Xenopus tropicalis: one gene and its partner. The protein of the gene in region 2 purifies or fractionates together with the protein of the main gene of each other region. This does not show direct contact. Links are inferred from orthologs where the notes say so. Each region holds a gene or a part of one and is shown on either strand. Other genes may lie near its edges. The genes, in order: acad11 and gtse1.

Region 1 (3,564 bases), on a different chromosome or scaffold from region 2:
CAGCTTTAGCTGTTTAAGGGGCAAATGGCAGTTTTTTCACCTATGTCTTTCATTCCATTTTATTATTTAATCACTAGCATTGCTAAGAGAAATCACATTTCACTTTCTATTCTTGTGATTAACTTAAAAAAATAATATCAATAGAATGAGAAAGGCACAAAGAATGTATGATGTCATTAAATTATGTTGGTGGGTGTCTTTGTGGTTGATCCTTAGACTATAAATCTTAGGCTATCTTGGGGTTACTGAGAGTTGTAATCCAACACACCCATATGTGTATCCTAACACAGAAAGGAATCGCCAGCGCTTGGTCTAACCCACGCTGTAGTGTTGACCAGCTGCTAGAAACACACTATTGTGCCAGTGCTCGGTCTAACCCACAATCTGGAGTTGACCAGCTGCTATAAACAATAAAAAGCCATTAAACATATGTGTATCCTGCCTGGGGTTAGGGAGTGTAGTGCTCCCCAAGCATTTCACACAGTGGAAACCTAAATCAACCACCATAATGTCTGTCATATAATGCTTAGTGTTATATGTTGAGGGTGTGCTGCCACAAAGTGGACATGTATGAAGATGTTGCCATCTACTACTGTGCTTGTGTTTGGGCTATTTTGGAAATGGCTCTTGGCTGGTTTTGGCCTAGTTTTGTGACTGGCTTTGGCTTGTTTTGCAAATTAGACCTGGCAGCTCTGGTCAGACAGAACATTATACATGGTGCCTGCCCACGTCCGGCTGGATTGGCCAGACAGAAATCAGCACAGGAAATTATTGGCTCCCTTTTCGTGGAAACTATAAAACAACAAAATAGGTCACTTATAACCGCAAGTGCTGTGTGCAAACTGCAAATTTGAATACAACCCTTGGAATGGTAGTAGAGTTGCACTTGTGCAGCACTGGCAGCAAAAAGTAGGATAGATACAATGGCACCAAGTGCAACTATGCAGAAGTGCAAAAATCAGCTTTGGACACAAGTACCTATAATAAGTGGCATTAATTTTATGCAACGTCTGCAGTCCACAGTTCAGTTAGATCATCTTTCTGGGATCTTCCTACTATTAGGTTACTAAAAGTTAAGGTGAACAACCCCTTTAATCGGTTTAGAATCAGGTATTTTTATTTTCTATAACAATATGTTTTCTATAAAAGCAGTGAAATTCCAGGTTTAATGGAGAAGTACATCCTGATGCAATAGGTTCAATAAAAGTCTGGGTAACCCTGTTTTATGGCTATAACTATAAGAAACTAGGTCAGTCAATATATGGTAGGGAAATCCAGTTAAAAAAACCCAAGTGCCCCTTTAAACATCAGCTTCTTAAGATAAGATCTGTGATACTTCATCCTATTGGCATTATTTTATGAGATCTTCACATGCACGCAGGTGGCCAAGTCACAGTCAAGCATCCAGTGAACCTTTTCTTTATGTCATTCGATTTCATTTTTTGAACACAATCCAGCTGTCAGATTTTAGCAGAAAGCCGCTTTGATTGTTCCAATAATTCCAGTTTTGCAATGGCTGAAAGGTGCACTTCATCAGGACCATCTGCTATACGGAGAGTACGAATAGCTGCATACCTACAAAACACACAGCATATATGTATATATTTAACTTACATTCTGCTTGTGAAAAACACATGATAAATACAAAGACCAATTTGAGTGTAATGGAAACCAATTATATTGTTTAGCAACAGAATATTAATATCTATGTTACCAGTGAATACTTCAACCATTACTACATCCACTAGTGCATGTATTAAGCAGTGATAAATCAAAAGAAACACAGTAATTAGAATGGTAATAACTGTTCCTTCTGCAAATCACCTTACATTAGTGTTTGTTAAGATAGAGGCCCATTAGAGTCTCGCCACCAGCCATGGAAAGATCCCTGTGGCCTAGAGTAGACAGTACAGGTATCGGACCCCTTATCCGGAAAACCATTATCCAGAAAGTTTTGAATTACGGAAAGGCCATCTCCCATAGACTCCATATTAATCAAATAATTCACATCTTTTAAAATTATTTCCTGTTTCTCTGTAATAATAAAACAGTACCTTGTACTTGATCCCAGCTAAGATATAATTAATCCTTATTGGAGCCAAAACAATCCTAGTGGTTTTAATTACTGTTTAAACATTTTTTTTAGCAAACTTAAGGTAGGAGATCCAAATTACGGAAAGACCCCTTATCTGAAAAACCCCAGATCCCAAGCATTCTGGATAACAATAATACCTATATTATAAATAAATGGTTCACATTTCTATCAGAATATCCCCTGAGACTAAATGGAGGACACAACTTAAGCAATTGGCAAACAATCTTTATGTCTGTGATTGGTGCCTTTATGCCTGTATAATATAAACCCCTTTAATAAACAAAGTCCGGTAAAAACAGCTGCAAACTATATAATTGTATAGAAAAGTCTGGCAAGGATGTAAATCTGTCCCCGTACATCTATGTGCAATATAAACAGTAAATAAATAATCCCTTCCACTGACAAACAGACGAGAAGCACATTGTTCCTTTTGGGGAAATAGGATGAAGTGTGAGGAACCTGGAACCTTGAATGGGGGTGGATCAAAACACAGTGATAAATTATTGCTCTTTGATTCAGAGGAAGGATGTGCTTAAATGAAAAAGGAAACAGATTGAATTGGAGCTATGAAACAGCTTTTCCTTGGAAAGAAACTGCTGTGTGTCAGTTTGTTTTCTGAACTAAACCTGCCTATAATAGCTTTCTCAGTGTCTTGTTACATTCCAGGAGGGGCTGTCATTCTTAGGGATTTTCCATTTACATCAATACTCCCTCTCATTTCTTTTTTGTGTGAATAATATTGTCTTCTGTGCACTCGTTGGTACGTGCAAGAGAGCACACAGCTCGGGGGAACATATATATATATATATATATATAACCACAGATTACTTAAATGTAAATTCAAATCATCTTTCCATTAAATCTTCAGTAAATCTTCCCTTCACATCAGAGTTGCACTCATCTTGCTACAAGAACAATATCAATGAATTATTTCCAGAGAATTACTTACATGGATGCCAGGGGGAAGTCTTGGGAAACCCCAGCCCCACCAAACACTTGAATTGCACGATCTGCAACCTTGCACGCCATCCTTGGAGCAACCACTTTAATCATAGCAATCTGCAACAGGAAAAATCTTTTCAGCAGTGTGATTCATTGTGGACTGTATAATACATAGATCTCACATGTATTTCCTATGCAAGGAAACTAAGCAGCTGCTCACATTAAAGTTTCCGTTCTTACAAAATATATTGTTTCTATAAACATTCAGTTTCTTTATGGACAGAATGAGACTATAGTATAGTTAAAATCAGTCTGTGACAGTTGGCTAGTGCAGCAAATATGGGCTGGCAGAAGCCATCCAGTACAAACTACTGCACCATAACAGCCACTATGGTTAGCTTGGTTATATAGAAGATAAGGTATTTTGCAAAATCTAGAACTCCACTTGTACAAATCAGTGCCACTGCTCTGTTTATAGATAGTAGGCTGGCAGTATAAGGGGGCTGCCACAGGCATTTCCATCTGGT
Region 2 (4,453 bases):
GAGTAACCCTTAACAGAAGGGTTAAATCAAGGAAGTCTAATTTGTGGCCTTTCAGCTGCTGAAAACACCCAACCAACCAACAAAGAAGTTTCCGAAAGTGGATGGCAGTAAGTTGAGCATCCTTAGACTAATAACATTTTTGTTTTATTTCAACTGACTCAACATCTTGCAGATATCCGCAATGGCTGCAATTCAATGGCACTAGAAAAGAGTGCCATGTATCGATGTTGGTAGGGAATACAAATTAACCCTTGATCCAATGCAAAATCACTGAGGTTCTCTGAATATTAAATAGAATGACCACACAACTTCTGGGAGGACAATGGCAGTGAATGATGAGAAGAAAATGTAAAGTAAAAGGTAAAGGAAATTTCTGTTAAGGTACCTGAACCCTACTGATGGTACTTTTGAGCCCAGTGCAGCAAAATTACTTAAAGCAGTGTCAGAATGTAGAAATAAGGACATCAGAATTAAAGAGAGCTATGCCTTACCCCCTCCAGCTTGCATTGTGATAATCCTTTCAAATGTTTTTATCTTACTTTTGGTGACCTAAAAGAAAGCACACAGTCATAACTGTAGGTTTAACTAGATGCAAAGAGAATTTGGAATTTTTTTTATAGATTTTTACATTTCAGATGTTTTCCAAATACCTGTAACTTGCCTTTGCTGTGCACTACCTCTGTAAACTAAACTTACTGCCCGCTCTTCAAGACCATTCTTTCATTGTTTTATAACAAGGACAGACAAAGGGGCCCATTAATTAAACCACGATTATTTTTAATTTTTTTTTAAATCTTATCTTTTCGAATTTATAGAACTTATTGTCCACAATAATTTTGTCAAAATTCCACAACTTTCTCATGGTTTTTTTAACTTCCACTAAAAAGTTGTATTTTTAACAAAGACTACAACCATTTTGGAATTCATTCAAGCTTTGGTATCGTGACTATCTTTTGGCCAGGTAGGAGCTGTAGAGTGCCATTGCGTCCAATGGAAGGCTTCCAAAATCATACATTGAAGGTTTCAAAGCCAGAAAGATTTTCGTGCCGTTTGCAAACATTCGGATCCAAAAATTTTGTGACTTTAGGAATGCAAGCATGATATTTTGTGCGACCGAAAAAAAAACCAAAAAACAATTTGTGACATTTTCAAACATCAGAAATTTATCGTGGTTACTCCAAATTTTTTCCAATCGTGATTTTAACCACCCAAAAATCGTGGTTTAATGAATGGGCCCCCAAAGTGTTTGGTCTGCTTCTCTACACTTACTTACAAAACGCAGGTGGAGAGAAGCACAGCAACCATTTGTGTGCCCTTGCCCTTAAATTACAGCCACCCAGCTGGAGGCCTGGGGTGACATTCAGCTTGCAGGCGAGAATCCTGTGTCCAACAGCCTTGCAAAGAGTTTCTCACCTCCCTCCAAACTGTTATGGCCTGAGCAGCATATGCAGAAAAATTGCAGCACACAGTTATGACTGGCAAGAGAAGCTGTGGGGTGATTTAGGAGAGCAGCATGGATTCAAATGGCTATCTAACTCATCCAAGCCCTGGCTCAGCTACCTGGTTTACTGGTCAGGTAACAGCATTCTGATTCAGGACAGAGCAACCTGAAAAGAGTGAGGAAAACGTGAATCAACTATTGGACAAAAAGTAAAAAAGAATGATATGGAAAGTGTCTTTGAATTTCACTAACTGGGTAAAAAGTGGGAACCCTTTGCTTTTGCTGGCTTCTCATTTGAGCTTATTTCAGACCTGAAAAGGATATATACAAACAGACATTAGCACTCTTAGGAGCTGTTTAGCCATTCCAAGCAATACTCACCAGACAGTACTAATGCTTGCCAAAGGCAGATCAATTCTCTTTCAGATGAATAAAAAGGAGCAGATAGGTATTTTTAGCCTCGTGGAGAGGAGAGTGAAAAAATGTGTGTGCATTGTATGCCTACAATGGGTTTTGTTAATCTTTAAATGTTATGTTATACTTTCAGAAGCAAATCCCTCCCACCTAAAAGTACAAGGAAAGCTTAATTCTGTATGGACAGGCCAATGTGCTAGGCACCTCTCAAGAGAATTCAAGTTTTTTTTTAATTCTATGGGCATTTTAAAGAAAAACATAGGTAAATGCACAGGAAATGTTCTAAAACAGCAGTGAGCCTCCATCCTACTTCACTTTCCTAGCATTCCTTTTCATAAACAGACTTGCACATTAGAGTGCATTCTTGCATCCCCAATGAATTTAGGTTTCAATGTCCATTCAATAGATTAAATGAATATATTCCCACTTTAAAAGGCCAGCATACACAAAAAGGGCAGAAAGGGGGTTCCAAAGTCACTATATAAGGATAAACTAAGGAGCCACCATGACAGTGGGAGGGGGCAGATTCATGAGAAGGTTTCCTCCCTTCCATCCCATGGTATACCGGTGCCCCGAAAAATCGCATTATTTGTCACTTAATAAATGAAGTCGGGGGGAAGGCACGCTTAACAGATCCAGTGTCTGTGTGCGTCAGATCCCCAGACATAGGCAGCCAACCCGATCCCCCCCCCGAATTACATTCCAAGTTTAGATGATACTACAGCGGTTCATACTTTCACGTATTGACACATAGCATAGAAAGTATCATAGAGGATGTAAATGTTACACTGGCATTCATACCCCGCTAACATGAGTCTGACAGACCACCGCTGAAAAACAAGTCTCGAGAAAATGTGTAATCAATTGTGCAAGTGTTAGAGAAACTCACGTAGTCTTTCACGCATCTGTATCTCACCACTCGCTGCGTTTACCCGTTTGGCTGTGAGTGTGTCCGAAAAGGGTAGAATTAATGCACAGGTGCGAGCCACTAATCCGCCCGACCAACACCAAACAAGCCTCGTATGGTAAGGAAATTGCCTCTCGATTTCAAACTTCCAAGTAATCCCAACCTATCACGTGACGACCACTGCGCGTCCTGCTATTGGATGGTTTAAAGAATTTCCCGTCATTCAACATTTTACGTAAGAAACGTGCACTGAAGCTTAATGGGATGCGTAGTTTTCGGCCGCAATGTAAATGTATAAATGTGCTGTGATTGGACCGCTGAACGTTGTACTGCTTGTTTATGTTATACGGCGGCATGGCAGGCTGTCCAATGGCCAGTTCAGGAACAAGTAGTAGTCAATGTACATATACAGTATGTATGTATAACTTTATGAAGCGGCACAAGGGTAGCAGCGCTGTACAGTCTTACAATAATAAAAAATTACACACAGGGAGGACAAGTGTTATAAAAAATACAATAAATTAGTATAAGTATAGAGGTATGAGTGCTATGCGGTATGAGACACAGAAGGAAGGAGATCCCTGTCCGGTAGAGCTTACAGTCTAAGTACAGTGCAACTGGAAACAATGTACCGTTGCTGTGGTGTTATTAGTGATTTTTTTTAATATAATTTTTGTTTAGCCCAAATACCAGGATTTTGTTTCAGGATTCATTCAGCTGCAAGCACTTTTTTAAAGAATTGCTGTCAAATCCTAACCTTCAGAGGGAAAACTATTTTGAAGCCTGGAAACTGCATATTTTTAAGTAAAATATGTCATATTGCTGGGTGCAAATTGGTAGATAAAAGGGTGTAAATTGGGTTTTTCATTTCAGTAATTATTTTTTGTTACATTTGGGCAAATATTGTAATAGTTTTTTTTATTTTTCAGGCAAGTTTATTTATAAAAGAATTATTTACAATAGCATAGATACATGTGACATATCCCACAGAGGTTATATGGATTATTGAATATCTTAAATATGGTACAGCAGTAGACATTGCATTGTTTTTGTGCAAGAAGCATTGAAGTGGAGTGTGCCTTTGTTCCTTTTTTGTTGATGTTTACAGCAGTAGACATTACTAACAGGGTCGGACTGGGGGGTGCAGGGCCCACCGGGGCTTCTGCCTCAGGGGCCCCTGCACCCCTAAATGGCCCTTGCAGCCATCACCCCCCCCACCCGTGTGCGTGCAGAGGCCCCCAAAACCCTCCGACCCCCTCCCCCTAGCGCTCTTTAAAGAAATGTACCTGTGGCAAGTCGGGGGAGGGAGACGGCTGATTTGTAATAACATCTCTGATATGTAAATTTGACACAATTGGAAGATTGACAGTCTATTGTAAGCATAGGACCTATAGTATTTGTGGCAGAAAGGGGATAGGAAAATTTAAGCAAACAGCTCTTGCCATTTACCCAAAATCTATACCTAGTAAGATGTGAGTTTAAAGCAATGGTTCCCTAACTGTGAGGCAGACCTTACTTTGGTGTCCTTGAGCAGTGGTAAAGCGGTTAAACCCGTAGACTATTTATGGTGGGATTTGGGAAAATCTTCATTTGTTCTCCTTTTTTCCTCTGAAATCAGAGATGGATGGTCAGTTAGTTGAGATTTGGTGTAAACACGTATTTGCTTTGCTGACCATTATATTGTTGGATCA

What was found.
Region 1: the proteins of gtse1 (region 2) and acad11 purify together in Homo sapiens (co-immunoprecipitation; 3 studies listed by BioGRID and IntAct, counting the BioPlex papers as one, with this or other methods). This does not show direct contact. The link is inferred for Xenopus tropicalis from reciprocal best matches to the Homo sapiens genes GTSE1 and ACAD11.

Annotation. Positions count from the first base shown.
Region 1 is NC_030682.2:52,961,139-52,964,702, reverse strand, and holds the end of acad11 (acyl-CoA dehydrogenase family member 11), read right to left. Parts: intron 3,155-3,564; coding exon 3,045-3,154; intron 1,576-3,044; coding exon 1,461-1,575; 3' UTR 675-1,460; downstream 1-674. UniProt on the Homo sapiens protein: Acyl-CoA dehydrogenase, that exhibits maximal activity towards saturated C22-CoA.
Region 2 is NC_030679.2:74,638,803-74,643,255, forward strand, and holds the start of gtse1 (G2 and S phase-expressed protein 1), read right to left. Parts: upstream 2,874-4,453; 5' UTR 2,745-2,873; intron 550-2,744; 5' UTR 508-549; coding exon 492-507; intron 1-491. UniProt on the Homo sapiens protein: May be involved in p53-induced cell cycle arrest in G2/M phase by interfering with microtubule rearrangements that are required to enter mitosis. Overexpression delays G2/M phase progression.